Linked DNA regions of Arabidopsis thaliana. The protein of the gene in region 3 purifies or fractionates together with the protein of the main gene of each other region. This does not show direct contact. Each region holds a gene or a part of one and is shown on either strand. Other genes may lie near its edges.

Evidence for each region.
Region 1: the proteins of PHOT1 (region 3) and UBQ10 purify together in Arabidopsis thaliana (affinity purification with western blotting, with the first as the bait; one study listed by BioGRID). This does not show direct contact.
Region 2: the proteins of PHOT1 (region 3) and PKS2 purify together in Arabidopsis thaliana (affinity purification with western blotting, with the first as the bait; one study listed by BioGRID). This does not show direct contact.

The regions. Positions count from the first base shown.
Region 1 is NC_003075.7:2,713,410-2,723,209, reverse strand, and holds UBQ10 (polyubiquitin 10), read right to left. Parts: upstream 5,234-9,800; 5' UTR 4,956-5,233; intron 4,668-4,955; exon of another isoform or gene 4,652-4,667; coding exon 3,278-4,651; 3' UTR 2,902-3,277; downstream 1-2,901. Other genes in the region: AGD13 (ARF-GAP domain 13), read left to right, coding at 531-570, 711-792, 1,095-1,170, 1,288-1,451, 1,537-1,684, 1,768-1,890, 1,976-2,071, 2,157-2,438; AT4G05310 (Ubiquitin-like superfamily protein), read right to left, coding at 7,198-8,445. UniProt on the Arabidopsis thaliana protein: Ubiquitin exists either covalently attached to another protein, or free (unanchored).
Region 2 is NC_003070.9:4,872,657-4,881,818, reverse strand, and holds PKS2 (phytochrome kinase substrate 2), read right to left. Parts: upstream 4,314-9,162; 5' UTR 4,163-4,313; coding exon 2,834-4,162; 3' UTR 2,512-2,833; downstream 1-2,511. Other genes in the region: SBH2 (sphingoid base hydroxylase 2), read left to right, coding at 35-259, 958-1,512; AT1G14270 (CAAX amino terminal protease family protein), read left to right, coding at 4,624-4,878, 5,052-5,149, 5,351-5,458, 5,625-5,707, 5,791-5,924, 6,012-6,061, 6,136-6,228, 6,304-6,395 and 2 more; AT1G14260 (RING/FYVE/PHD zinc finger superfamily protein), read right to left, coding at 7,389-7,568, 7,656-7,742, 7,815-7,965, 8,058-8,125, 8,207-8,278, 8,380-8,619. UniProt on the Arabidopsis thaliana protein: Acts predominantly in the phot1 pathway. Involved in the leaf positioning and also in the phot2 pathway controlling the leaf flattening. Component of the network that modulates the very low-fluence response (VLFR) branch of phyA signaling.
Region 3 is NC_003074.8:16,811,533-16,824,582, reverse strand, and holds PHOT1 (phototropin 1), read right to left. Parts: upstream 7,863-13,050; 5' UTR 7,668-7,862; intron 6,237-7,667; exon of another isoform or gene 6,040-6,236; 5' UTR 6,027-6,039; coding exon 5,326-6,026; intron 4,787-5,325; coding exon 4,604-4,786; intron 4,331-4,603; coding exon 4,239-4,330; intron 4,144-4,238; coding exon 3,876-4,143; intron 3,781-3,875; coding exon 3,558-3,780; intron 3,461-3,557; coding exon 3,390-3,460; intron 3,302-3,389; coding exon 3,195-3,301; intron 3,112-3,194; coding exon 3,062-3,111; intron 2,939-3,061; coding exon 2,834-2,938; intron 2,751-2,833; coding exon 2,691-2,750; intron 2,595-2,690; coding exon 2,428-2,594; intron 2,335-2,427; coding exon 2,250-2,334; intron 2,164-2,249; coding exon 2,083-2,163; intron 1,979-2,082; coding exon 1,875-1,978; intron 1,792-1,874; coding exon 1,742-1,791; intron 1,642-1,741; coding exon 1,535-1,641; intron 1,438-1,534; coding exon 1,309-1,437; intron 1,222-1,308; coding exon 1,057-1,221; and 6 more. UniProt on the Arabidopsis thaliana protein: Protein kinase that acts as a blue light (BL) photoreceptor in a signal-transduction pathway for photo-induced movements.

The DNA.
Region 1 (9,800 bases), on a different chromosome or scaffold from region 3:
TTCTTTATTTAAAAAACGCAGAAAAAAATAATAAGATAAAAAGAAAAGTGAGCACGTAGTTGTCATTTGCAGATATTATCATTTGCCAATTTTCTTGTAAATTCACCTCTTTCCTTCGTCTATCTATCCTCCCTTCCGCAACATTGTAAGAACACCAAATCCCCTCTCATTTCCAATTTTTTGTATATCTTCTTGTTTCATATTTAGATCATCCAATCTCTAAGAATGTTAAAGGTCAAATTTTAAAATTTTTTTGTCGGTTTTTTTTTCCTCTCCGGTGTCGGAATCCGACAACGTAAGGATGATTCACATAGGTTTTTAATTTTTGATATGAAAAGAGATTCTTCTCGTGATTGGCCCATTTGTTTTGTTTTCAACAATGTTCACGTTTTGATCGCAAATTTAATTTGATTTCCATGATAAAAATTGGAACTTTCTTATGTTGTGATCATTTACAACAATTTGTGCGTGATGGGTTGTTCTCAATGTAGGATTTTGTTTGATGATCGTTGGGTTTTGAAAGAAGAGCAATGAGCAATTATGCAGCCGGACTCGGTAAGCCTGGCTCAGGTAATGACAGATTCTTTCTTTTGTGTGTGTGTGTGGTCGATTCTATAGATTTAGCGAAATTTCTTGACTTTTTCATGTTATAATGGCGTCACAAGGTTTCTGATTATGTTGTGATTCAATCCACATTGTGTGTTTAACAGGTAAAAGGAGAATCAGAGATCTTTTAAATCAACCTGATAACCGAGTCTGCGCTGATTGTGGCGCTTCTGATCCTAAATGGGCGTAAGTCATCGCTTCTAAGCCTCTTTTTCTTCTTCTTATCTTTTGGTAGTTTTGCTGATAAACAACATGTCATTTAGTATATAGCTAATCTTATGCTAATACAATATGTTTGGTTCTGTATGTTCTCTATTCATTTAGGGGTTAATCTCATAGAGTTGAATGTCTCACATTTCTTTACCATAACCGAAAGTTACTTATTCGCATTATGCGATTTGAGCTTCATCTACATGTTCTTGTGTCTTTAGTTATGTATCTTTGTGTTTGTTCTTATATTGAATAATCAGTTAGTAGCTTGTTTTCAGATCAGCAAATATCGGAGTATTCATTTGCTTAAAATGTTGCGGTGTGCACAGGAGCCTCGGCACTCATATTTCAAAGGTGATATATCTTCTTTGCTCTATTACATATTGGTTGTCCATTTGTTGTCTCTTTTCTTCATTACTCAAGACAAAATTAGATCTCTTTCGTTGTGTACTCATTGTTTGGTTTCTCCAGGTTTTGTCTGTGACACTAGATGAATGGTCAGATGAGGAAGTCGATTCCATGATTGAAATTGGAGGAAATGCGTCTGCTAATTCAATTTATGAAGCTTTTTTACCTGACACGTGCTCTAAGCCTGGACCTGATGTTAATCATGACCAGCGTATGAGATTCATTAGGTCAGATTCTAAAACAAAATACTCTGTGACAGGACAAATCTATTGCTGTTGTTTGTATAGTGACTTACTCAAAATCTTTATTTAGGGCAAAATATGAACTGCAAGAGTTTCTGAAACCAAGCTTGCGGATTACATCCGGGAAAGGCTCAACAAAGAGTTCAGCTTTTCTTACATCAAGTCTTTCTAGAAAGATCATGGATAGTTTTCGCACAAATTCATCATCGCAGACGATGGTAAAGCTTCAAACTTGCATAAGTTAACGTTTTCTTTCTTATACCTTTCTTCTTGCATGTTTTGAAATCGGTAAATTTGACAGTTTCAGGAAGGAATGGTAGAGTTTATTGGATTGTTGAAGGTGACTATTAAGAAGGGAACTAACTTAGCAATCAGAGACATGATGTCAAGTGATCCATATGTTGTGTTGAATCTAGGGAAGCAAGTAAGTGATTTGCTTTGCATCTTTTTATTAGCTTTACTTCTTGTTGATGCTGTGAATCTTGAGTAAAATTGTCTTGTTTATTCAGAAACTTCAGACAACTGTTATGAATAGTAATTTGAACCCGGTATGGAATCAAGAACTCATGCTGTCTGTTCCTGAGAGCTATGGCCCTGTGAAATTGGTAAGAGCAAATTCATTTTCTATTGACGATTTCAGTCATTGCCAAAGCTTATATATATATCTTACGGTTTCTTATGTGGTTGCAGCAAGTGTATGATTATGATACATTTTCTGCTGATGACATAATGGGAGAAGCAGATATTGATATACAACCTTTGATAACATCTGCAATGGCTTTTGGGGATCCAGAAATGTTTGGGGATATGCAGATTGGGAAATGGCTAAAATCGCATGATAACCCATTAATAGATGACAGTATCATTAACATTGTTGATGGGAAAGTGAAACAGGAGGTTCAGATCAAGCTTCAGAATGTAGAGTCTGGAGAATTAGAGCTAGAAATGGAATGGCTGCCACTTGACCAATAAGTGTCATATAGGTCTCATAACCTTTATAAATGTACTGATTGATTTAATTCTTTGTTTTTTTTTTTTCTCTCCATTTGTTGGAAATTTTCAAAAATCTCTTTGCATTTTTTTCCTCATTTCAGAGGTAAATGTATTTTGATGTTTGTATAAACCAATGGATTACTATATGATGTTTTGATTGATGGAAAAAGGGTGAAATATCCACTTATGTAACATACACTTTCACTTGTGATCATCAATTTACTTGAGAGTCGTTTCTTCAAAGTTTCAAACTTTCCACAACAGAAACTCTACTTAAGATGATCAAGGCATTGTCAAATGAAATGCTTTGGAAGGAAGAAACTGCCTCTCCTTCGTTAAACCAAGCTCAGTATCTTGCAGTTTCCTCTCATCAGACATATCAATGCTTGGACAAAGGTACGAACCATTTTCTACATTTGTGGGACATTACAGGCATTTCTTAGCAACAACGAATGTTCATCATACTCAGAACCTAAAAGATTAACATGTTCAAGCCATCCTTAGAACCCAACAGCTCAACACTTTCGCTACATCTATTACTAGAGGCCAACAATTGGACTATTTACAAGTTTCGCAGAACTGCACTAAACAGAGTCGAGTCACTTTGCAGGCGTATTAAACAAAAGAAGCACAGATAATAAAAACGAAGCGATGATAAAGAAGAAGTTCGACTTGTCATTAGAAAGAAAGAGATAACAGGAACGGAAACATAGTAGAACACTTATTCATCAGGGATTATACAAGGCCCCAAAACACAAACCACCAAAGTTTTACATGAAACGAAACATTGAACTTCTTAAGCATAACAGAGACGAGATTTAGAAACCACCACGAAGACGCAGGACCAAGTGAAGAGTAGACTCCTTCTGGATGTTGTAGTCGGCCAAAGTACGTCCATCCTCAAGCTGCTTTCCAGCGAAGATGAGACGCTGCTGGTCCGGAGGAATACCTTCCTTGTCCTGGATCTTGGCCTTGACGTTGTCAATGGTGTCGGAGCTTTCCACTTCAAGGGTGATGGTCTTTCCGGTCAAAGTCTTGACGAAGATCTGCATACCTCCACGCAGACGCAACACCAAGTGAAGGGTCGACTCCTTCTGGATGTTGTAATCCGCCAAAGTACGACCATCCTCCAATTGTTTTCCGGCAAAGATCAACCTCTGCTGGTCCGGAGGGATTCCTTCCTTATCCTGGATCTTGGCCTTCACGTTGTCAATGGTGTCAGAGCTCTCTACCTCCAAAGTGATAGTCTTTCCGGTGAGAGTCTTCACGAAGATCTGCATACCTCCACGCAGACGCAAGACCAAGTGAAGTGTGGACTCCTTCTGAATGTTGTAGTCAGCCAAAGTTCTTCCATCTTCAAGTTGCTTTCCGGCGAAGATCAATCTCTGCTGGTCCGGTGGGATACCCTCTTTGTCCTGGATCTTGGCTTTCACGTTATCAATGGTGTCAGAACTCTCCACCTCCAAAGTGATGGTCTTTCCGGTGAGAGTCTTCACGAAGATCTGCATACCTCCACGCAGACGCAAGACCAAGTGGAGTGTGGACTCCTTCTGAATGTTGTAGTCGGCCAAAGTTCTGCCATCTTCAAGTTGTTTTCCGGCGAAGATCAATCTCTGCTGGTCCGGAGGAATACCCTCTTTGTCTTGGATCTTGGCTTTCACGTTATCAATGGTGTCAGAACTCTCCACCTCCAAAGTGATAGTTTTCCCAGTCAACGTCTTAACGAAAATCTGCATACCACCACGGAGCCTGAGAACAAGATGAAGGGTGGACTCCTTCTGGATATTGTAGTCAGCAAGAGTTCTGCCATCCTCCAACTGCTTTCCGGCGAAGATCAGCCTCTGCTGGTCCGGAGGAATACCCTCTTTGTCTTGGATCTTGGCCTTGACGTTGTCGATGGTGTCAGAACTCTCCACCTCAAGAGTAATCGTCTTTCCCGTTAGGGTTTTAACGAAAATCTGCATACCACCACGGAGCCTGAGGACCAAGTGGAGGGTGGATTCCTTCTGGATATTGTAATCAGCCAACGTACGGCCATCCTCTAGCTGCTTGCCGGCGAAAATAAGCCTCTGCTGATCCGGAGGAATGCCCTCCTTATCCTGGATCTTGGCCTTAACGTTGTCGATGGTGTCGGAGCTTTCCACCTCGAGGGTGATTGTCTTTCCGGTGAGAGTCTTAACAAAGATCTGCATCTGTTAATCAGAAAAACTCAGATTAATCGACAAATTCGATCGCACAAACTAGAAACTAACACCAGATCTAGATAGAAATCACAAATCGAAGAGTAATTATTCGACAAAACTCAAATTATTTGAACAAATCGGATGATATCTATGAAACCCTAATCGAGAATTAAGATGATATCTAACGATCAAACCCAGAAAATCGTCTTCGATCTAAGATTAACAGAATCTAAACCAAAGAACATATACGAAATTGGGATCGAACGAAAACAAAATCGAAGATTTTGAGAGAATAAGGAACACAGAAATTTACCTTGATCACGGTAGAGAGAATTGAGAGAAAGTTTTTAAGATTTTGAGAAATTGAAATCTGAATTGTGAAGAAGAAGAGCTCTTTGGGTATTGTTTTATAGAAGAAGAAGAAGAAAAGACGAGGACGACTAGGTCACGAGAAAGCTAAGGCGGTGAAGCAATAGCTAATAATAAAATGACACGTGTATTGAGCGTTGTTTACACGCAAAGTTGTTTTTGGCTAATTGCCTTATTTTTAGGTTGAGGAAAAGTATTTGTGCTTTGAGTTGATAAACACGACTCGTGTGTGCCGGCTGCAACCACTTTGACGCCGTTTATTACTGACTCGTCGACAACCACAATTTCTAACGGTCGTCATAAGATCCAGCCGTTGAGATTTAACGATCGTTACGATTTATATTTTTTTAGCATTATCGTTTTATTTTTTAAATATACGGTGGAGCTGAAAATTGGCAATAATTGAACCGTGGGTCCCACTGCATTGAAGCGTATTTCGTATTTTCTAGAATTCTTCGTGCTTTATTTCTTTTCCTTTTTGTTTTTTTTTGCCATTTATCTAATGCAAGTGGGCTTATAAAATCAGTGAATTTCTTGGAAAAGTAACTTCTTTATCGTATAACATATTGTGAAATTATCCATTTCTTTTAATTTTTTAGTGTTATTGGATATTTTTGTATGATTATTGATTTGCATAGGATAATGACTTTTGTATCAAGTTGGTGAACAAGTCTCGTTAAAAAAGGCAAGTGGTTTGGTGACTCGATTTATTCTTGTTATTTAATTCATATATCAATGGATCTTATTTGGGGCCTGGTCCATATTTAACACTCGTGTTCAGTCCAATGACCAATAATATTTTTTCATTAATAACAATGTAACAAGAATGATACACAAAACATTCTTTGAATAAGTTCGCTATGAAGAAGGGAACTTATCCGGTCCTAGATCATCAGTTCATACAAACCTCCATAGAGTTCAACATCTTAAACAAGAATATCCTGATCTGAAGAATGTGGAGGCTTTAGTCCCTTGGATACTTGGGAGGCTGTGGAAGAACAGAAACGAGCTGGTGCTTAAAGGGAGGGAATTTGGAACCAATGAGGTATTAGTAAGGACACAAGAAGATGCAGATGAGTGGATTAGAAGGAAAGAGGCTCAGAATGTAAGGAAAGCACCAACCACAACACCGTCGGGACAGACGAGAAACATGGGAAGCTCCACCACAATCTTGGGTTAAGTGCAACTTTGATGGGGCATGGCCAACAGAAGGATTAAAATGTGGCTTAGGGTGGGTGCTTCGCGATCATACAGGGAAGGTGTTATGGTTAGGTGCAAGAGCTGTGGTAAAAGTAAGAAGCGTGCTGGAAGTAGAAGTGGAGGCTCTTAGATGGGCTGTGCTGTCATTATCCCGATTCAATTATAGGAAGATCATTTTTGAGGTGGATTCTCAGCAACTTGTGTCTTTGGTTACATGAAAGTTATGCTTGTCAAGTCTCAATCCAATTATCCAAGACATAAAGTATCTACTTAGCAAGTTTGAGGATTTTATGCTTGTGCATACAAGCCGAGAAGGAAATGGAGTGGCAGATAGAATAGCTAAGGAATCTCTTTCTTTTGAGAATTATGATCTAAAGTTGTATTCTATTGTACCAATTTGGGTTAAAAGCTCTGTTGAGCTAGACTGTGTATCCATAAATGGGTGAATGGAAAGTTTGTTGTTGAGCCAAAAAAAAAAAAAAAAAAATCATCAGTTCATCATATTGGTAGTCTTGTTTGATAAGTTCTGCTTTTTTTACCTTCCAGTTTTGCCATTTGATGTTGCAATGAGATTTCTTTTGCTAATGTTTTAAAATAACAAAGTTGTTGCTGCTAGTGTTTCCAAGTTGTGTTTGCTGAAATTAGGGTTTGTAACTTATAAGAGAAGCTTGATCGCTGCTTTCGACTAAAGGGAATTCAATAACAACAAGTTTACTTGAAGAAAAATATTAAAACCTAGAAGAAAAGAGTTACACCTACAAATAGGATAAAATCCACATAAATTTCTGTTACTAAATGTATCATAGTTTTGTTTCTTCTATGTATCTACATATACTCAAAAATTTCAAAGCATTGTGACTTAAGGGCCAGAAGAAAACTTGAAGAAAGATTAAAACCTATTAGCAAAGAGTTAAAGATCCACATAACTTTCTGTTGCTGAATGTATCATAGTTTTTGGTTTCTTCTGTGTCATATATACAGACTTTCTACAGAACTTTTTGAGCACAAAGCATTGTGACTTTAGAGCCACGAGTAAAAGACGAGGCAAAATGTGTATCACGTCCACTAACCATATAAACTGTTTCGGCTGGAAGAACACGGTTCCACTCGAATGACTGATCTTCGTTCAATACTCTCTCTTTCTTTCTGTCCACAAAGAAATATCCTTCGTGAGGCATTCTTATATGACCCCTCCGACCACTTTCAACCAACTCGGTTCTCAGTATTTTCACTTGATCCGTCGAGTTCACATCCACCTCAATAAATCTCTTCAGACCTTTACACTCACTTGAAGCTGCCACCACATATACTTTAATCTTCTTCTTCGGGTCAGTGATCTCTTTGACTGAGTTTGACGCTGGAGATTGCTCCATTTGAGGCACTTGAACCGTCACAGACGAATCTTGAATCTTACTGGTCTCTTGGATAACACGTCTGGGAACAATCACAATTGTATCCAAGGGTTTAACACTGTTACACTCGTATGACTGATCTTCGTTCAATACTTGATTATTGTGCGTAAAGATGTACCCTTCTTGAGCCAGTTTCATAAGACCTCTCAGTGTTTTCACCTCATCCGTAACTTTCACTTGCACCAGAATATTCGTTGGGACTTCATTCATACCAGGATATGGCGACACATATACTAGCATCTGCCGGACTCTTTTTTTTCCGTTAGTGATCTTTTTGACTAAGTTTGACTGTGGAAATTGCTTCGTTGGAGGCACTTGATCGTTGTTGTTCTTACTCGCAAACTTCACAGACGAATCTTGAATGTTAACGGTCTCTTTGACTGAGTTTGACGGTGGAGATTCCTCTGTTTGATGCGCATCTTGAATCTTACTGATGTCTTGGGTTGTCTCAGGCCGATAACTGTAAATCTTTCTGATCTCTTCCTCTGTCAAAGGCCAATCTTGCTCCGCAAAGTACTCTTCAACTGAAATCCACGGTGCTGGAGGAGATTGCTCTGTTTGCGGGATTTGATCGTCGTTGTTGTGAATAGGGTTCACGTCAGGAGAGACTTCGAGTTGGATTTGAGAATCGTGGAAGATCTGGCATTGGTCGAGGTTAAGATCTTCTCGAAGAATAAAAATGCCGTCGACGATAAGGGTTTGTTTCGAAACTGGGACACGTTGAGACTTCTCGATCTTCTGTTTGACCACTAACAATGTATCTGTGCGTTCCACTTCAATCTCGAACGATGAACCACCCAGAATCTCGACCACAAACTTCATGACTCTATCAATGGTGTTTCAAGATCAATGGAGACTAATGAAGAAGAGAGTCAAGAAACAGAGAGAGCGAGAGAGAAAGTGATTGTTTTGTAAAGATAGTTCACGATAGAATTTGGTTTTAATATCATTCATTCACATATCAAATGAACCGCATTTGGGCTTGACCCATTTTTATTGGGTTACGTGGCTCTTAAGTCAATGAAAGCCTCACATAAAATCATCAGTATCTATGCTACAGTATATTCTTACTTATATTATCCAACGGTAATGTTATAAAAAGATTGATTAAAACTATCTAGATCCGACCCATTAAACCGTAAATCTACAAATCCGACCCATTAAAGATTCTTGCCGGAGACGAAAGGTATTCCGATTGAGGAGATGGGTCAAGTGTGGAGGTCACACTGGTATTGGTCAAGGTTTGTAGAGGATGGGAGTATGGGAATGCGCTTGAGATGGGGAAGAGCAGTAATTAAGCCGGAACGAAGCATGTTTGATTTATCATTGTTTTTTTAATGAGAGTTTTAAGAAAAAGAAAAAAAAAGATTTGTAAATGTCGTAGAGGAAAAACTGTACTAGCCTAGATATATATATTAGTGTTTATATAAGGGTAAATTGCAGGCCACACCCGTTGACCATGTTTTATTTCCATGGATTGTTAAAGTCAAATGTGGTTTTCACCATTTGTCTTTTCGCCTGCAAAATGACGTTTCTGCCCTTGCGCTTCTCTCTTAGTAACTGTTGAAATGTACGGTTTAGTTTAGCAGGTTTAGTTACGTACACTGTTCCGATTCAGTTGAAGATTTTTTGTTTCACGTTGACGCGATTCGGTTCCGTTACAAGTGAGATTATTTTCATTATTCCGAAGTGACATCAACATTTAATGCCCCAAAAAAGTTTAGATGTGACTATTGTCACAATTAATGCAAAATCATCATTACATCAAATAATATTAAAAAAATTATTGATAATAATTAATAAAAAATTAAGAACGTACATTGCTGTTGAAGAAGTGTTGATCTTGTTTTTGTACCAAGTTTGGAGCCAAAACAAGCATTGCTCGTGTAAGTAATGAAGTTCTTTTAAGAAGTTTTTTGTTATGTCATATTAGGATCTTGATTGTGTTTTAACTCCATTTTTTTATCAGAAAATTTGCAAAATCTATATTTGTTTGTTTAAAATAGTCAAATGATAATTGGTATTTAGGTTTATAAATGTGTAGTATCGACATTCCATTTGTTTTTTATATGTATAGTATTTTTCAGTTGCATTTAATGTGTGTCTCCTGAATTTATGATGCAGGTGGGTTATGGATATTCCCGTATTTACTATGGTCGGTGAGTGGAAATGCAAAG
Region 2 (9,162 bases), on a different chromosome or scaffold from region 3:
GTTGTTGTGGGGGAGAGATTGATTAGAATTAGAGATGATGAGTTTCGTGATTTCAGATGAATTTCTGGGGACATTTGTGCCGATTCTGGTGTATTGGGTGTATTCAGGGATGTACATTTGCTTAGGATCTTTGGATAAATATAGATTGCATTCGAAGATAGATGAGGATGAGAAGAATCTCGTTTCTAAATCTGCCGTCGTTAAGGGCGTTCTTCTTCAACAGACTCTTCAGGCTATTATCTCCGTTATTCTCTTCAAGGTATTGAATCTCTCTCTCTCTCTCCCTTCTTTGAACATTGTGGCAAATTTGTGAATGTTATAGGATTTTGGTTGTGGATTATGCTAATAATGTTGTTGTCCTCCTTGTGCTTCTTGTTAATCTAATTTTGTGGTTAGTGAACTTAGGTCGATGAGAATGAATTAGGGGTTTTCTGATTTCAATTCACCTTTTGTTGTCCTGAAGCTGTTGGATCAAGGTTACAGATTTAGGCTGCATTAAGAATAGTTTAGATTCTGGAGATTGTTTGATGAAATAAAACTTGAATCTCCTGCTTCTTGCTGTTTTATATAGAGAATTTGCTAGATTGTTTCACTTGAAATTCTTGAACATAAGGCGTTACTTTAGAAAAGCTTTTACGTCTAGATTTGTGATTCCCTTGTCTAATAGTGCTTAGAGGAATACAATCTTTACCCTTCATCATTCACATGTGCAAGGTTTTGTTCTCTTGCATGGGAGACCGTTATAGATAGTCTTGGAATTTCTCACTATTTGTGTGTTTCAGAGTCGTGAGCTTGTGATGTTTCTCTGTATTGGAAGAAATTGATTGAGGTTTCTAGTTCTCATGTTATGGTACACTCTGGATATTTTGTTGATAGAGCTTCATATATTAGCATTTTGGAGCATTTGTTTCTTGTTTACCTGAAATATTTTGTTTGGAATTTGGTTGTTCTCTTTAGATAACAGGAAGTGATGCAGATGCTGCTACGACACAGCAATTTTCCATTCTACTTCTGGCTAGGCAGTTTATCATCGCTATGCTTGTAATTGACACTTGGCAATATTTCATTCATCGATATATGCACCTCAACAAGTTCTTATACAAGCACATCCACTCTCAGCATCATCGCCTTATTGTGCCTTATTCGTATGGAGCTCTATACAACCATCCACTAGAAGGTCTTCTCTTGGACACTATTGGTGGTGCTTTGTCTTTCCTCTTCTCTGGTATGTCCCCAAGAACAGCCATCTTTTTCTTCTCCTTCGCTACCATCAAAACAGTAGATGATCATTGTGGACTATGGCTTCCGGGAAATCCATTTCACATCTTCTTCAGTAATAACTCTGCTTACCATGATGTTCACCACCAACTCTATGGAACCAAATACAACTTCTCGCAGCCATTCTTTGTTATGTGGGATAGGATTCTCGGCACTTACTTGCCTTATTCATTGGAGAAAAGAGCCAATGGAGGATTTGAAACACGGCCAATCAAAGTATCCAAAGATGAGTAATTTCTCTTTCTTTCTTTTGGGGCTTCTTGTCAATGCTAAGTCATCATTTTGCTCGTTAGAGAACCACTGTAACCTTTGCGTACTTGTAATTGTACATACAATTCCAATCTATCCTTTTTTCGATCTGCGGGCATATGTTTCTGTGTAAGCCAGCAGTAAATTTATCTTGTAATAGCCAAAACTTCAGATCTTCTCTGTTATTATTATCTGCTTTATAATTCCAGGTTTTGAGACCTGTGAGAGTCTCATTGATCTCCTTTGTTACGAATTGACATACGCAGAGTCGTTGATTCTTTCTTTTATGCAAAGGGCTTCTCGCTTTTGTTGTTCTTATCCTCTCCAAACATGGCAGCAACGGGGTAGTTTTTCTCTATATAGTTAGTTTCATAGACTAAATGAAGTCACTGTTCAATTATTTCAAAAGTGGACCTTTGAAAAGGATACAATACTTATCTTCAAGATCTATTGATACTTTGTGACATGGTTGATTGGGTTTAATATCAAAAGGTTGTTTCTTGATTAGATCCAGCTGTAAGATCTGAATCTTGAACTAAAACTTTAAACTGTATGACAAATCAATCTTTTTCCCAAAACCTAACATTCCTCCTGAGTTGGTTACAGAGACATATCATCATCAATGACACAATTAAGGTTTTGTCGACGTCTACTTTATCTCATTATCATCACATGGTCTTGACACTGGAGATGAGTTCTGGACCAGAAGACTCTGGAGTGGCTTTTAAGACATGTTAGGTGAAAGGACACTATCATTGTTTGATTGAGTTTCCTCATTAAAGGCTCTTTTAGGCAACTCGTACGGTCTTTGATTAAACCGTTAAATCTAAGCCTAATGAGGTTATCTTTCTATTCTTGAGACAAGCACATGAAAATGAGGTGGACCAAATGTGTTTTGTGTCTAGTCTACGTGCTGCATTTAATTATGTCTCCTAAGTCAACAAAAGGTTACAATCACATCTTAATATTTCACATGGAATTGCACTCTTGGTTATGTCTTATTTGCGGATTAGACCCAAGTGTCTATTGTTCACATGGTGCAGTTCCTTATAATCTCTGGCAACAATAGATGAGTTCTTGGCATCACATTTCATCTTTTACTCATTTGTGGTCAGCAGATAAGTATTGATTGATGATACAGATTGATTTACACTTCTCTATCGACATTCTTCCTTAATAAACCAGTTAAATCAAAAACTACTGTTTTCAGGTACAACAATATGAAGATGGTATTAGCAAATCAAATATTTTCCACTCAATAGACATTTTACATGTAAAACGAAAGGAGCTCAGGTTTTTGGCATAATTAAGTATACAAAAAAGGCGATTGCGTGTGAGAAACAGAACTACTGCTGATCCTCCTTCTTGTTTCAGTGCTTGTTGGATTAGCTTCTACAGGGAATCTTGGAACATAGCTCGGTGTTCTGTTCATGCTTGTGTATGAATCACCAGAAACTCTGACAGATTTATGACTCTTGCATCCCATTAATAAACCGCTACTGCTAGATTTCCGTCTCTGAGGCGCGATTTCTCGGTTTGATTTTGCCATGATAGGGATTCGAGGAATCTGAAAAGACCGGTTCTTTTTGACGGGACTCGTAGCACATTCAGACATAACAGAGAAATCTGCTACACTTGCTGTCACTACACTCCATTGTATGCTTACCTCACTTGGTGCATAACCATCTGGTGAGTCTGGATCACTACTTCCTTGCCTTGCAAGAAAAGGGTTTGCCTTCCCTGTTAAGCTCTCAATCTCAAAAAGATCCGTACTTACATCGCTCACACTCCCATCTTCTTCTTCTTCATACTTCACAGAGAATCCATGTTCTTCTTTTTTCGCAGAGCTCGAGTATTCCCATGGAAATTTCTTCTGAATGATTCTCTTCTCAATAAGAGGAGATCCAAATATTTCCAGAGACTTCCTCTGCTCTAGCATTGCTTCTTGTTGTTGTTGATGAATCTTCATCTCCGAGCTTAGATCTCCAGAGAAACTCAATTGAGTCTTGATCTTCTTCAGACCAGAGCTTCTTCTCTTGTCGTCGACGACATCCACTGAACTCCAGTTCGAACACACGCATCTGCAGCCAAGAGTAGCGAGAAAACTCTTCTTATTACTCACCTTGTGATTGCTACTCATATCCTTCTCCTGAAAGTAACTGTTGCAACTAGAGTTTTTCTTGATGTTCTTCTTCTTCTCTACATATTTGCTCTGAAGCAACAAACTCTGGCTATTCCAACTGGATTCAGACCGAAGACTAGGAGTTTCCGAGGAATTCTTCGAGCTTTGCTTCGGACCAACAAAGATTCTCTCTATTGGAACTTCTGGATCTGGCAGAGGAGACACAAGTCTAGGACTGTGGTCAGAATCCATATCTCCATTGAAGTACTTCTCAGCTCCAAACACACTGATCTCCAAATCTTCAGAAGCTTTCTTGTTAATTCCAAGAACATCATTGGTGATACCACTCATTAGGTTCTTCTGGGTGAGAGCATCTTCCTTGCTTGTCAAGTAAGAGAAAGAAGTAGAAGAAGAAGAGAAAGGACCATAGAGATTGTTACTGTTATTATTATTGTTCATCATGAAATCAAAAGATACGTTTGGAGTTGAAGAAGATGAAGTTAAGGTCACCATTTTGTTTCTTTTTGTGTATTACTATTTCTTAGGGATGATTTAGATTTGAGTAATATAAATAGAAGAAATGAGGAAGTTCCTTGTTTTTTTTTTGAAGCTATGTCGTGTGGGTTCCATTACTGGGACAAGACTGCCTATTTGCCAGTGATTTTGTGCTAATGTATAAACAAAATATTAATTATATTTTGTCTTGGTTATAAGGAAAATGAAAAAAGAAAAATAGTGGACATGATTCTCCCAAGGAACAAAATTACAAATTAGAAGACACGAGGGATGTACGTATTTTGTGATATACTGACAAAGACTTGTCGTCGAGTTAGTTGGTCGTTAATGGGCTTTGGGCCTATACTGACATAAATGGGCCTTAAACAACGTTATTTTAAGTAAGTAACGGTTTTTTTCTACCCGCTCGTTTTAGTCGGATCTTATCCTCTTCCTCAATCTGATAATCGTGTTGGTTCATGTGTGGAAGTTCTCTAAGAACAACAGAAAATTTCAAAATGGTTTCTCAGATAATCTCGTGTTTATCTCAATCTTCGTCTCTTCTATGTTTATCCGATTCAAGGAGGTTAATTCTTCCGAAGACTTGTACTTACGGCGGTTTGAGCCGGTTTTCTCCAGGATTTGCTAGCCGCCGGTTATTTACGGTTAATCGGAAGAAATGGAGATCGGCCTGCATTTTCAACTCTGGAAAGGAACCTGGAGGAGAGGGAAAGGTTACTGTCTCACTGACTCTATCTAAATTAGATTCTTGTTTAGTTTCCGGTCTGAATTTTTCTGAGGCAGCTCTATGTAACTTGTTCAATTGAATCCAAATTCTATTGGAATGTGAAAAAAGACTAGACCTTTGAGAAATTATTTGAAGTTTTGATTGTTATATTTGTTGTAGTTACAAGGAGGTAGCTCAGAGTGGCCGATACTTCAGAGATGGGAAGTTCCATGGGGATGGCAGACAGTTTCGTTAACTTCGTTTGCTTGTGCACTAAGGTACTCTCATCAAAAGCTTTCCCTTTTGATGACTTTAGGGTTGGAGTTTGATGAAAGTACATAGACTGTGTGCTAAGATAAATGTGATGGTTGAGTAGACTGATCTGAAAGATAATCTCTCTGTTATGGTTAAATAGTTTAATGTTCAGTGACTATTCTCTGTGTAATGCATGGAGTGAGATTAATTTTGTTCCCAGGCAGTTTTGTTTTGACAGGATTAACCGAGATGGCAGTCATACCGTTTTTAGGAATCGACGTTGAGAAACTGACCTTGGACGATAAGGCGGAGATTTTGTTCCTGGATCAAGGGTAACCAAAAAAATACTACTCTTTTGTGTATTCTTTGCTCTTTTTTACTCTGTTAATGTAAACTCATTATATAATCTCGTTGCTTTAGCTGATTTCACATTGTAAAATTAGTTATCTCTCTTGAGGTTTGGCTTATGTTGAATAACATTGTCTAAATATTTGGCAGCCTAACAACCGCGGTGGTACTTGCTGTCATATTCACTGTTGCCAAAACCTTCGACCCACTTCCTGAAGATATTCTTCGCTATGGTACGTTTTTTTTTTTTTTTTTTTTTTTTCTATCAGCATGGTTTGCTCTTTTATTGGTAGTTGACTGTTTGTTCGATCGTCAGATTTGAGACAACCCGTCAACCTGCAAAAAGGATGGCTTGTGTGGGGTGGAATCGGTCTGGTTGGTGCTGTTGGTGCTATTGCGTTAACAGGTGTTGTTTTATCCGTGTTCAGGACAGAAGCACCTGAAAGGGAGGTTAGGAGAATTCAAAACCATGCTTTATGTTTTGTTTTCGAAATATTTGTTGGATAATAGTAATGAGGCCTAGTGTGATGTTTTCAGGTAGACTCTTTGATGAAGCTTCTTCCATTAATTGGATCCTCAAACATAAGGTATTTCCTCAAAGAAATAGAAACTGCGATGTGCGTTAATACTAGAATTTGATCACACATTGCACATAATACAGCACCTTAAGCTTAGTGGGCATAACTGGAATCCTTGCTCCACTTCTGGAGGAGACCGTGTTTCGCGGATTCTTCATGGTCTCTCTTACCAAATGGTAAAACCTCTGTTCTTTTTTCTCATTTGGTTCTGGACAAAAGCTTACTACATTTTGTTACGTTCTGTATTTCAGGGTCCCGACCCCAATAGCGATCATCATCAGCTCAGCTGCGTTTGCCCTTGCCCATTTCACACCTGGTGAATTCCCGCAGCTGTTTATTCTAGGTAAAACATAACTAAAAACAAAACCATTTGCATTTTCTCATGGTTATGAACATTTCTGGATGAACAATAAGTATCTTTTGGTTTAGGAAGTGTTTTGGGATTATCATATGCACAAACCCGCAATCTCATTACCCCAATGGTCATACACGGTTTCTGGAACTCGGGAGTTATTTTGCTACTCACTTTTCTTCAGGTAGAAAACTCATTCCTATGATCACTACAATGTCAAAATAACATATCAACTCTTAGCTTATGTTTGTTTTGTCTCTGTTGTTTTTTGTAGATCCAAGGGTATGACATTAAGGAGCTATTGCAGGCAAACTAGCTCTGAGCCATGCTCTTTGTGCTGTCCGCATTTAACATCAAAAAGCTTCATTATGTGCTCGATGTTAGTAAGATATTTTGTATTCGAGAACAGATTTCATACTTAATGCAATTTGGGTTTTGGTAGAGTTATCTTTATTACAACATCATGACAGTAATGTATGAACTAATATGGTAGAGATGAATCTTTTTGGAACAAAAAACAAATTTATTTACACAGATTACAAATTATGTGTCTCGTTTTTCTTTACCTAAAAAGTGAAATGCTCATCTCTCAATCAAGTGTTATTGAAAATCTTAATGCTACAGAATCAGAAACTCTTTAATCTACATACACAATCTTTCTTAGAATCGAATACTTGTAAAAAAAAAAACTCTGCACTAAGTTAGGACACTCCTTGTTTGTAAGAAAGCTGATTCAGAAGGACCATCATGTAGATCTTGTGATGGTTCTTGTTGCTACCAAATCTTGATTAACACCACATATGATTCAATGATTTCATCAGAAAAGATAGTTTCAATAGCTTTGCAAGAAGTGAGAAGAAGAAGAAGAGATTCTTCTTTCTACTTACTGTAAACCACTCTTTTAACAGCAGTTCATGAATCTTTTTTCTGATGAAATATTTGAAAAGCATATACACCTGAAACTCTTAGAGTGGAACTATAAAATCATGGCTCCATTGACAAATAATTAATCACGGGTCTAGGTTGGCGCGAGCTGAGCACCAACGCAAACCGAGTGGCCAAGTCCGCTGCTTCCTGTCTCTGTCTACGGCGATGCAGGATACTGATGGCTGATGCCATGATGTAGCAAGGAAGAAGAAAACTGGCAGCTCGGAGTAAGAAAAGCTGCAAGATGATTTTGTGGTTTGGAGTTAGAACTTATACGAAACTTTTCCAGTATATGCTGGAAAAAAGGAAGAAGTAGTAACTTACAGAAAGTATTGAAGAAGGATCATCATCTTCACTATCTGAATAATCTGGTATAGTCAGTGCATGTCGCAATAGAAGAAGAGTCATCAACTGCAAAAGAGAAGAGAAATTAGTAAAAATACTCGGGAGTAATTGAAACTTGTTGAGGAGCTTTAGACTTACTATTAAAGCAGCAGAGCGGAAAAATGCAGCTCCACTGGTATCTGAAGCTGTATAATCATCATATTCTGATTCTAAAATCTGACGTTCAGCTTCTGCTATTGCCAAGAGACGTGGATCATCTAAATCCAAACCCGAGATTCTCCATCCTCCACTAAAAAACAGACAAATAAGTCAGAACAATTACAAGTCATGAAACCAAACCTAAAGTGTATGACAGAAACAGAATAATGAAAATGATCATACCCAATGTCAATAGTAGTTTCTTCAGATTGTGGTGGTGGTGGTGGAGAGGTATATCCAGCTTGGTATGGCTGGAATAAGAGAAAGTTTAATTTGAGCTGCATCCTCTACAAATCATACATCATTAGTATCAAGAGAAAGAATGTATATACCTGATGACAGATTTCGCATATAGTGTTTCCCTTTTCATTACACCAACGTTGAACACATTTTCTGTGAGCATACTGATCACAACGTAAAACTTAAAAGTCAATACTCAAATGTTCTCTTGATAACTAACTATAGGTTCCTATAGTGATCATGAAACAATGAAGGAAAAAACTACCTTTAAGCTGCCATTGCAAGCACAAGGACTCTCAAGATTCTTAATATCACATTCATCCTGACAAATCCGACACTCCGCGGAAGAAATCAGTGAATCCTCCTCCTCATTCTCCGTAGTATCTCCGTCGTAGATATCAATTGCATTATCCGCCGGAGACTCTGTTCTCATACTATACTCAGCCTCCGCGAGAACCGGTCGAACCAATCCATTAACATATACGACCGTGTGATGATTACTCATCTCAGTGTTTCCCAAAACCACTTCTACGAAATCAAATCCCTAAATACGAAAAACAAGAAATTCACAAGTATATGAACTCTAATCAGACACATGCGTTACGAATCCGAGAAAAGCAAAGATCAAGATCGAGATTTTCGGAGAAAACGAGATACCAAATCTAGAAGAAAAAAAATCACCTGCAAATAGATGTATATAGCGTGAACGGTGAGATTTTTCTCGTCGTGAGCTGAAATATCGGCAAGGAAGGAATGTTAGAAGAGAGACGCAAAAAGAAGTTTTTGGTATTTGCTCTCTCCCTTGGGAAGATGAGAGAAAGTTTCTTCACAAAAGATTTTGTTTGGCCCGGAAATCAAGCTAATGGAAAATGGCTTTTTATAGCGGGAAAGATAACGACGTCTGAAAAGACTAACGGCTCCGTTAGTTATATAGCCGTTGACCAGAACTTAAGTATAACGGCTCCTAGTGGTAATCTAAAGTAGTCTCTCTTTTTTGTTGGTCTATTTCTGACAGCATCTAGTACCTCTTTAATTAACAACATGTTGT
Region 3 (13,050 bases):
ATACATACTGAAAATGTCAAGAACAATCACAGAGCAGATCACTTGACGCAATGTGAATGAATCAAATGAGCATTTCTTACTAAGTAACACAATAACTACTAAAACACACACATAGGATGCAGCAGAAACGGTGTTGCTGTGAGTAATTAGTCCTCCACAAAGTTATAGTTTTCTGAAACACAAACAGAACAAGAACACTTAAAAGATTCAAAGAAACATGGATCTAATCTACTCTATCATAATCATTCTGGTTTGTACCCAATTCAAGCCTTAATTCTGATTTGAACTTTTTTTTTTATGGTTTCCATTGTCTTTTGTAGCCTTCAACTAAATTATGAAAAATATCAATTCTTTGTTTAACTTTACCAATTTAATCACATGAATTCGCATTATAATAACTTGATTAATGAAACAAACAAAAACATATGCAAAACTTGATTAATTTTATTGACATATATAAAAAACATATTCTTAAGAAACTCACACAAATTATTAGAAACACTTGGCATTATAAATAAATAAAGATAATGGTAAAATGAAAATAATTAAAAACGAGATTTTTGGAGAACAAAGAGTTTCAAACAATTCTTGAAAAGAAAACGATAAACGTTTAGTCCAAATCTCAAAAAACATTTGTTTGCAGATCTTCTAGCTCAGGATCAACAACTTTCTCTCCGTTTTCAGCTTCACCAGAAAATATCGGAGTCTCGAGCTCTGGAGGGTTCTGCATATCAAAATAATCTCATAAGATGATTAGTTTTCTTCTTTCACAAGTAAAACCGAAATGTTTCTTATATACCAAGTAAAGAGAATGTGTGAAGTTATACCGTGCATCGAATCAGAGCCCAATTTATGCCTTTGAAGAAAGAATGTTGCTTGACTTCATTTGCTCCTTCAAAACAACCTAGTCTTTTCTTCGGATCTCGTTGTAACAGCCTAAAAATCAGCTGTTTCACTTGAAGACTTGCCTGCAAACCAATAACAGAACAATTAAATATGATCCTCGATTTTTATGCATGAGATTAGTTTATAGAAATATAGTGATTGATCCATTACAGGAATGCTAGCTGGAAACTTGAGATCTTTTTGAAGAACATTGGTGAAAGTCTTCTGTCTTGTTTTTCCTCTAAAAGGAGTGTATCCGTATAACATTTCATACATAAGTATACCAAGAGCCCACCAGTCTACTGCACTCGTATGTCCTGCTCCGGATATAATTTCCTATCCATATGAGACATCAACTACTGGTTAAGACAATGGTAAATACCTTAATCACTGTACTTAAATTGGTATATATAATATACTAACCGGAGCAATGTACTCTTCAGTGCCAACAAATGAGTTTGATGCACGCATTGGTTCAGCCATGAAGATTGGAGTTTGTTGACTCTTTTGTTGCTTTTTCTTCTTCTTCTCGTCTATACTCGGAATCAACAGCTACAAGATTCATTAATCACCCTTAATTAGTATACATGAGCAAACTCTCTAGTAGAAGTGGAAACAATCTGAAGGGAAAGGTTGAGAGAAATCAAACCTGAGGTTTGCAAGATGTCAAGCAAGACAGATCAAAATCCGACAAAGAGATATCGCCATTGCCTTGGATTAAAACGTTTTCCGGTTTCAAGTCTCGGTAAATTATTCCTGAATTTAAGAAAAATTACAAAGATCAACTTAGTATCATGTCAAGATTCCTTGCATCCAAAATTTTCTTTGTAATTAAAGAAGAGGTTGAATGGATTGCCTTGACAGTGAAGATACTCGAGTGCAACGACAACTTGAGCAGCATAGAATCTGAAAGTTCATGCAGGGTTTTTGTTAGTTCAATATTTAAGTGAAGAAATCTTGAGACTTTTTCGAGCGAGGAACACTTGTACCTTACAGCATCTTCTTTGAGAACCTTCCTAGGTTGTCGATCTAGGAGCATGAAGAGTTCTCCTCCTGGATAGTAATCTGTTATAAGACATATATGTGTTTTTGTCTGCAGAATAAAACATGATCCATTAGTAACCAAAGACCAAAGAGACACGCATATATATATATATATATATATATATATATATATGTGTAAACAGAGGTTTTGACCTGAAAAGAAGCGTAGAGTGCAGGAAGAAAAGGATGGTCAAGCAAATCTAGGATCTCTCTCTCAGCTCTAGCTCTATGTACCTGCAAAAAATTATATCAGTGGCTACAAAACTTACAAATAAAAAGCGAAACTCAAGATTCCTTGAAGTGCAAGTTACTGTAATTACTTTGTTTCGGTTAAGCATAACAGCCTTGTCCATTGCTTTCATTGCAAACAACTGATCTGTTCCAACGAGTTCCACTAGATGCACACTGATAAAACACAAATGGGATATTATAAGATTAATGAAGGAAATGTTCTTTTTTTTTGTAAGCTATTTCATTAGATTAGATAGAGTTTCAGACCTTCCTGTGTCACCAGAACCCAAAGGTTTCACCGGTTTGAAATGCTTCAAACCAATCGGTTCACCACTTTCCAACACCTTTTGGATAGCTATCCATGGTGGTGAATCTTTCCTGTGAGGCTTACAATGAACAACCTTTGAGTGGTTTGCCCATAAATCCTCTGGTGTCTTCAGAAACAAGACACAATAAAACATTCTGTCAGATATATTCTAATAAACCTTAATCTAAAATGATCATATTCAGATCCTTAGACAATCACTTACCATGTTGGCATCAGGAAGTTCTCGAACCGCTTCATCGATATTCACAGCTGTTTTTTTCACCTAAAGAATATAGATTAAGGTTTAATACTTGATTTTCTATCAAACGAATACTAAATCAAGATCAATAGTTTAGGATTCCAGACCAGGTCTTCTCCCTCTTTCACTGCGGTTTCTTCAATGACATTGCGAACTGGTTCTACGTGCTTGCTCCCGTCTAGTTGAACTCCAATAAAGTATTGTACTTCTCCCTGTCAACAACATATCAAAGAAAGAATATAGACATCTTCAGTTTTAAATTCATAAACCAAAAGAAATTGAGGATTAGTTTGAAGGTGCCGTATAATGCAAGATATCTATGTAAACCATTATACCTTCTGATCACGCATAGGTTGCAAGTGGAAAATGTTCCAGAACTTCTTTCCTGCCACAGAGAATATAATGTAAATTTAAAACTTTATACAATGATCGACAGATTAATCTAAGAATATCGAAAAAATCGAGTACCGCTCTTGGTGTAGTTGATGAGCTGAACTGTCACTTCGGTTTGGTTATCAATAGCATTTCGAATCTTCTTCACTGTGGTTAGATCAGTCTCTGGACCTTGTAGAAACCTAAAACCATGAAACAAAATTTATAAACACATGCTCTATGCTCAAAAATATTTTCAAAAGACATTTTGAGATCACATTCATGTAATACCTGCAATTTCTTCCAAGAATTTCTTCACGGCTATATTCCGTGAGCTCCAAGAAACTATCAGATGCAAAAATCTAGAAACATAGGACAAAGCAAACAATACGTTTTCAGACCAATCGAAATGAAACATAACAAAAAAAGTTTCCATTTTTCTAAAACATTTGTTCTTACAATGGGATTATCGGGAAGCCTAGGATCAGTGATGACGAAATTCTTCTCGATACGTTCGAGTGTAGTAGCTAGATCAATACCCTTTCTCATTTCCTTTTGTCTCACTTTATCATCCACACTCTCAGGTCTCTCGTCCCTATCACTAATCTCATCGTCTTCTTCTCCATACTCTATAAATCCATCGTCTATAGATTCATCCAAAGATTCGCTCTTCTTCTTGATCCTATCACCAGAGTATCACAACAATCATATCAAAGACTAAATCGATTTTTATAAAGTAATTGTCAGGTAAACAAATGATCTAGTAAGGATTATTACCCCATGAAGGAAAGGGAAGATTTTCTAGATTTTTTCTCGGGAATTTCGTTGATTCGCTGCATCGAGTTTCTTCTTCCGCCGCCAGAGTTTCTTCGGCCTGACGGAACAACATTTTCGGACATTCGCCGAGCTGGTTTTTTCGGAAGTTCATCGCTCTCCGATTTTGTCATGAAGGGATGGAGATTCGTCGATTCGCTTAGTGCCCGAGGTCTCTTCACCGCCTCTACTAGCTCTGTCACTGAGTTTGTCGCCATATCTTTTTGGCGGGCTTTTACAAAACAAAATTTGAAAATATTTTTAAGAAAACATAATAAATGGAAAAAAATTTGGAAAAACAAATAGAAAAAGAAAGTATGTAAATACCATCGTATCGAATCAGAGATTCCGGAAGCCCATTGGGCCTCAAAGCCTTTTCTTTGGCCCCTTCAGTGTGCTTGCTCACCTCCACTTGCATTCTGGTCCAAATAAACAAAACATATTGGTATCTTCTGATTTTTCCTCAAAATCATATTTTTTTATCAGATTCTATAATTCTTTTCTTTTTCCTGATTGATTATTCTCTTTTGTTATTCTACAATAGGATCCGTCGGTGATACAAATCTTTGAATTATTGCGGAGAAAGCAACACAAATCACAGGTCCACACTTAGACCCATTAAAAAGGGTGACATTTTGAATGAAAGAAATAAAGGAGAGAAACGAGTAAATAAAAAGGAATAAGGGACTAACCCGATAAATTTGAGGACTTTGCCACTCTCGTCTTTAATGGGAGCAATCGTGAGAAGATTCCAAAAAGAGGTCCCATCTTTCTTGTAATTCAATATACGCCCACAATAATTGTTACCAGCAGCTAATGTCTCTCTTATCTTTGCTAACTCATCTGCATCTGTACCTGATCCTTGTAAAAATCGGCTACAATAAAACAAAAACCCAAATTATGTTCTTTTCTTCTTTCTTTTTGTAAATAAAATTCATTCATTGAACAAAAAATGGTGGAAACTTTTGTAAGAAATTTTTCGAATTTGCAAAGAAATGTTCGATTTAAAAGAAATATTTTAAGTTATCATTAAAAAATAAACTTAGTTTATAAAAGGCTATTAGTTTGGAAAAACAACATAAAAATTAGGTTTATAAAAAGTTTTTAGAAATTTAGTAAGAGTTACTAAATCATTTAGGATAACCATACCTAAAACTTAATCTTTGTAATTTTGGTACACAGTTTCGAAAAGTTCTAAAAAAATAAAATAAAGTTAGGTTTAATTTTTGAAAATTTAGAAAGAATTACTAAGTCATTTAAGATATCTTTATACATTTATAGTAACCATAAACCTAAAAACAAAACTATGATATTTAATTAGAAAAAACTTTGCAATTTTGGTAATTATTACAGAAAACGAAACGTATTTTATATATTAAAAAAATGCTCTAAAATTTTTTGAATAACTTTTTACCAGTTTCTGCCGACGACTTCTTTGGAAGTGTAACCAGTCATATTGAAGAAACCAGCACTTGCATACATAATCGGATAATCAGGTTTTGTAGCATCTGAGACCACAAACGTTTGTTGAAACGTCGACAACGCATCTTTTAGATCTTCCGATACTCTTGGAATCCCACTCCTCCCGCCGGGAACATCTCCGTCCGACATCTCACCGGAGCTCCGGCAAGAGTTTTGCGAGTTTCTCTGCGATGTAGTCTTTTTCCCGTTAGGATCATTCTCAGTTCCACCAGAGTTCCTCACGCCTACTCCTTGTGGCTTTCCCGTCTTTGTATCGGTCTTCAAAACCAATCCCCACTCTGCCGCTCTCTGCTCAGCCGCCACCGCCGACTTCTGTGGTTTCTCGGCGGTGATCGTCTTCTTGGAGATTGTCTCCGGTGATGGGTCTTTCAGAGCCATCCATGAGGTCGTGACAGCGATTTCTTGATCAGACCGAACAGGGTTGGATGGAGCTGGTTCTTGTTGTGGTCGGGGTTGAGGACTGGTGCCACGTGGATCACTCAAGTTTTGCCACGCTGGTGGTTCAGGACGGAACACCGGGTTATCGGGTCGGGTCAGCTGAGTTGACGGGTTGAATACTTCGAGAGAGCCACGAGTGTCTCTAGGTAGAGTCCGAGAAGATGGTTTGGTCGATGGTTTTTCTGTTGGTTCCATCTTTGAGCTCTCTCTATACACGAAACAAAAATTGTGGCCAGAAAATAAGTTTATATATAATTAGTTTAATGGATAGACATAGATACCACACGCATGTGTGTGTATATGAATCGGCAAATAAAAATATTTATTCTCTTAAAGTTAGATACTATAAATATATGGTATAATATTTTATTGATTTCTAAAAATGGACACATGACCAAGTTCTTTTGTGGTAGATGGATGGTTTGATTACTGAAAATGAAAACACTATACAAATATGTGATATGTGAACTAATTAATAACGGTTAGATATGTCATATGTTTAGTCATAAACAGAATGGGTTTGACCATAAAAAAAGAAGGAGAAATAGAAAGGAAAGTTGATTAAAGTTTGAAATATCAGTACAATATATGGAAATGGTAGTATTACTTATATTTTTTTTTGTCATTTAACTTCTTCAAGTAGTATGGTACATATTGGAGTTAACCTCTTTTCATAAAATTAAAAATAACTAACTTGCATTAAATATTTATTAATAAGAGATTATGTCTACAATTTTATACAAAAAAATATAATATTCTAAACAGACAATGTGGTGGTCCATTTCTACACGGATCGAGAGAAATCCACTCTATATCACTTTGGTGCATTTCTACTAAGGCTGACTGGATATGTCGATATGATTTTACTAGATGCTGACCATAAATAATTCATCAATCACTCATTTTTTTTGAATCTTCAAAAATGTTATCATGAATAACAAGAATCTTGCTCTCTTAGGTGTCTTTCTTTTGGGAAATAATAGACTAGACATATCTAACATGATAATGAATACATGTTTTATATGAATGTATATGCATGCAGGTAACATTATTAAATATGGTTCAAAGAGTTATGGTTTATGGGGCCATAGATGAATGAAGATATGAACTGGAAAATACGCCAATTTTGAGAGTGACAATTCCAAATGAAGCGGGGGTAAAATTGAGAAAACGACACAAAGGTGTAAAGTTTCAATGCTTTTTTGAGTTTTTAGTACCACACAACACATGCATCTTCTAAGGGTGGTTTAGTCATTTTGGTATAAAAATGGACAGTTGTTCTATTACAAAAACAGTAGCTGAACCGATTCTGTTCGATCGATCACAGATTTCAACTAAAAATCTTTGTCTTTTTTTCATGTTCTTGTCATTTTATCAATTTCCACATAAATGAACTTTGTAAAATAGTTTATCACTCTATTTATATGAGAACAAATAAAAAGAGTAAAAAATTTCATGGTAAATAGGAAAATCTATTTTTATTTAAAAAAATTGAAATACATATCTTTATGAATTATGATTGGAGAAATTTTAAATCGAATTCAGTTGAGTTCTTGAAATATGCAACTACCATGTGATGTGTGACTTTCACAAAAAAAAGCTGACATTCAAATAATTTATATATATACTAGTTTCAGATCAAGCTAGTAGCTAGAGTGCTAGACGATATAAAATGATATCTACTTCACTATTTATATTTTTACACATACAAATTAAGGCCGAAAATGTGACAAGAACCCTAAAAAGATGAATAACATACAAATTAAAAAAATGAATCGTCCTAAAAATAGCCTAAGAAAGTGAGCAAGACAGTATAAATCGAAGGGAGAAAACTACCTTGCAAGTTAACTTGTGCTGGAAGAAACAGATTATCCTTCGATTTTTCCTTCACTCTCTAGTCGAGAGATAAACTGAGGAATGAGTTTGGGATGAGAAGTTAACTTTCCCGAGGCTTTTTATACAAATAAGGAAATTTTTTGATAAGAAGAGATTCTAGAAAGATTAAAAAACTATTTAGGTTTCATGATTGATTTAGTTCCGTTCTAGCTCCATCACTGGATTATTTGATCTTCCCATGCTTCGAATGTTTTTGATTCCACATGGCTTCTTTTGTTTACTTTCAAAAGATTGTATAGAAACGTAACACTAGTATCGTTTATCTATCTTCTGTATAACTCTGTCTTGATAATTAGATTATAAACCTGAATATACTCTCTTTGTCAAACAAAACCAGACCAAACATAAATATATATTCTGACTATGCTCAATATTCAATTTCTATGGCACTTATTGGAAACGAATGGTTTATATGACTTAACCAACAATTTTATGATGTTGGTTTGACAGTGATTAATCTAGGTTTTGGTATAGGACAAACAGGATTATAAAAGAGAATATTGCACAAAAAAACTTGCTTGTTGTAACTTGTGCGTATAATTGAAGTAAATGATAAATAAAACATTTGAAGAACACATAAGTGTGTGGAGTGATGGTTGTTCTTTTAAAAGTTTCTGTGTGTGTCAGTGACTATAAGTGGGAGTGAGTTGTCATTTGAAAACGCCAAAACCGTTCCCAAATGCAAATGCAGAGACCCAATATTACATAGATGTTCTCTTTCCACTTTTGTAATGGTAGAAATCTCAGTCTTTATGCATTGCAAGATATTTCATGCAAAAACATTAAAGAAGAACATACACTTTTATCCGATTTAGTGATGAAATCGAACATGGAGATCGGTACAGAAATCACAAACAAATTAAAAAGCAATCACATGTCATTGTTATATGCATTTTTGGTTGATTTATCAAAACTTTCTCTCGCTTTTTTTTTGTCAAAACTTTCTCTCTTTAAAATGGTTTTATTAATTCTGTCTCTATTTTGTTTTCCAAAAATCACTCTAATTATTAATTAGCAGATAACTTCCCTATACATTACGATGCATAAACAAAATATATTGCAAGAATATATAGCAGTTGTTAACCCAATCGATTTGGTATGCTATCAAATCATGGGCACAAATACAACCTTAAACTTTGGATAAAAAAATAAAAATCCAACCTTAAACAACCATGCATTTGATCATTTGCATATTCTAAAAAGCAATGTGTAACTAGTTTAACGGTGTAACAAATATAGACTAGCAATGGCATAGCGCCGATACGTCTCAGATTGAATAACTAAATATTTTTTAATTGCATGTAAATATTGTTAAAAAAAAAAACAGTATCATCATTTGTAAAATTTGGTATTAATATAATGACCCCACTACACTCAAATTCAGTAACATTTTTTTCTCTTAAAAGTTATATTATGATCCCGGTAACAAAAATGGATCTGCCACTACAGACTGGTCATCCCAAGCGATCACGATCACTATCAGGCTTGGTTAAAAATATCAGAACAGTTCAGATTCAAACCCTTTTGTCGGAAACCCTATGGACAAAATTTGTGAAGGGTATAATACAAAGAGGAGAGTATGGTAACATTTCATATACAAGTAGGACCAGAACCCATGTGAAGATTGATCAAAGAGAAAAAAAGATCTTAACGGGTTATAATCTTATCCATCATGTGTCCATTGTGGGTTTGAGTGTGTGGTGGGGGCTGAAAATGTTACATCAATCTTCACATATTGGCCGCTTAACTTCTCCCATTTTCTAAATTGACCCCTTTTTCTTCCCTAGACAAATCAAGATTCAAGATGGGACAATGACACTGGTTAGTTTACATCAATCTTCACATATTGGCCGCTTAAATTCTCCCATTTTCTAAATTAACCCCTAGACAAATCAAGATTCAAGATGGGATAATGACACTGGTTAGTAGTTACTATATGCAAGAATATCTACATTAGGAAAATTTAATATTTTCTAATTACCATTGTTTTTCTATCGTCATATATATTGTTTTGGTAAAATATACGATGTTGGTCTACTGATAGTACAAGTAGGAATGTTTACATTAACACAAATTGTTTTGTTTTCTCTCTCCCTTAAATATCATTGATTCTAAAAAAAAAAGCATTGTTGAGGTAAGTTCATTTACTAAAAAACCCTACCATAAAAAAGTTCATTTACTAAAGGACACAAATAAAAAGGAGATACGTTGAAGCTTTGAAATACTGATGTGGTATTTTACGAGACTTTTCTAATGCTCAAGGTATTATTTTGGACCACATGATCTGGTCGAAAACTAATAAGAATCGGAATACGAAAAATAACTTGCATCACTTATTTATCTTTTATAACTAAGGGGTAACCCATATTTTTACCACCAGACTAATACATCTAAGATAAGTGTAGGTGTTGAGTAGTCCACTCACTTGATTTTCTAATGGATCTAAAGCATGACACAATTTTGATTGTTCAAATATAATGGAGTAATTTAGTAACTTGTATCATGACTCTATAGGAAGAAATTAGAGAAAGAAATCCACGACGAACTTTTAATATCCAATGATTAATCTGAATCGATAAGAGATATATGTATGTTTGTTAAAAATAATAAAGAACCAACTTAGAGTTGACCCAATGATAAATCTCTTAGGTGGAGGTGTTGGATTCGACACAAGTTGGGAGAAATTTCTTATGAATTTAACATTATTTGCGAATGGTTTATGCCGGTTCGGCTTGGTTCACACTTGGTTTATTTTTCTGAGAATATACTCTATTAGATGCTGATAATTGTATAGTTACGGATAGCTTTTAGATCTTCTCAACTGTAGGGATTTTCCTAGATTCACGACGTCTGTTGTATAGTCGATCTATATATGTTGTATGCTTCTCTTGATGATCAATAACACATATACATTGTCGAACTCTGTATTCCTTTATGGTATCAGAGCCTGAAAAGCAAAACTCTTGATTTTTTTTTTCTCGACAATGTCAACTGAAAGCAACACCTCCGCTGCGACTGAAGTAAGGAGAACAATCTCTCCTTATGACCTGACTTCTGCTGATAATCCTGGAGCCGTAATCTCTCATCCTCTCTTGAAGGGAAGCAACTATGAAGAGTGGGCTTGTGGTTTTCGAACCACGTTGATATCACGGAAAAAGTATGGATTTCTCGATGGTTCAATTTCCAAACCAGAAGAGACTTCCCCTGATTTTGAAGACTGGACGACGATTCAAGCTCTTCTTGTGTCATGGATCAAAATGACAATTGAACCAACTCTTCGATCCACCATTTCTCATAGAGATGTGGCTCAAGATCTGTGGGAAACATCTGAAAAAGAGGTTCTCTGTCATGAATGGGTCACGACTACAACAACTGAAATCTGAGCTAGCTTGCTGCAAACAGAGAGGTTTGGCTATTGAATCTTACTTTGGCAAGTTGACTAGGATCTGGGATAACCTCGCCACACATCGTCCGTTGCGTGTTTGTCGTTGTGGTAAGTGTACCTGCAATCTTGGTGCTGCTCAAGAGGCAGATCGGGAGGAAGACAAGACTCATGAATTTCTCAATGGTTTTGATGAGCAGTTTCGGGCGGTCCGATCAACTCTAGTGGCTCGGACTCCCATTCAACCACTTGAAGAGGTGTACAACATCATTCGTCAGGAAGAGGACTTGCGTGTTCCCGTAGAAGAGTCACCGTCAATGACAGCTTTTGCGGTGCAATCCAAACCACGTCTTCCAACTGACGAAAAGGAGAAAAGTTTCTTCTGCAAACTGTGTAATCGATCTGGTCACACTGCAGAGCGGTGCTATGCTGTCATCGGGTATCCAGAGTGGTGGGGTGATAGACCCAAGGGTCGTACTCTACAAGGGAAGGGACGTGGTGGCAGTACGTCTCGTGGTGGCAGGGGACGCGGAGCCTCCCAAGAGGTTGCTAATCGGGTTTATGTGCCGAATGTGGAAAACGTGACAACTGAACAAGCTAATCATGTTCTCACAGACGACGACCGATCTGGAGCTCATGGACTGAATGATACCCAGTGGAAAATGATAAAATCAATTCTCAATGCGGGAAAACAACCTTCAACTGAACAACAAACGAGTATGTCTTCTCTCTCTCCTTGGATTATGGATACAGGGGCGTCACATCATTTAACTGGAAGGTTTGAGACCTTAACAAATGTGCGAGAAATGCCCCCTGTTTTGATCATTATGGCAGACGGTAGAGAGCAAGTTTCTTACAAAGAAGGTTCTATTAGTCTTGGTAGTCATTTGGTAATGAAATCTGTTTACTATGTTGAAGAGTTGAAAACTGATTTGATGTCTTTGGGGCAGTTAATGGATGAAAACAAGTGTGTTGTTCAGTTGGCTGATCGGTTTCTCGTGGTTCAGGACCGCATTTCGAGGATGGTGATTGGGTGTGGTAAAAGAGTGGGTGGTACCTTTCACTTTCGTAGTACAAAGATCGCAGCTTCAGCCGCAACAAAGGAAATCAAGTCATTTGAGTTGTGGCATAATCGGATGGGTCATCCGTCGACGCAAGTGGTGGGAAAGCTTCCGTTTGTTTCTGCTTCTGTTTCTTCTTCTAGTTTGAATAAGCCTTGTGATATTTGTCTTCGTTCAAAACAGACAAGGGATAGTTTTCCATTGAGTATGAATAAAAGTTCAAATTGTTTTGAATTAATACATGTTGATTTATGGGGTCCTTATAGAACTCCATCTCATTCTGGAGCAAGATACTTCTTAACTATTGTTGATGACTACTCCAGAGGAGTGTGGCTGTATTTGTTAACCACTAAAAGTGAAGCTCCAGAGCAGTTGAAAAAGTTTTGTGCTTTAACAGAGAGACAATTCAATACCAAAATAAAGAGGATCCGGAGTGACAACGGGACTGAGTTTCTATGCTTAACTAAGTATTTTCTCACCAATGGTATCATCCATGAAACCTCGTGTGTAGCTACTCCTCAACAGAATGCAAGAGCTGAAAGGAAACATCGCCATATCTTAAATATTGCTAGGGCATTGAGATTTCAAGCGTCTTTACCCATTGAATTTTGGGGTGAATGTGTGTTAACCGCAGCGTATTTGATAAACCGGACTCCTAGTTCAGTTCTCGACTTCGCAACACCATTCGAACGCTTATTTAACAAAGCTCCAACTTATGATCATATCAGAGTTTTCGGCTCCCTGTGCTATGCCCATGATCAGAATAAAAGTGGTGATAAATTTGCTTCCCGAAGTAAATGTTGTGTTTTTGTGGGTTATCCGTATGGGAAAAAAGGCTGGAGATTATATGACTTAGAAAAATTGGAATTTTTTGTCTCAA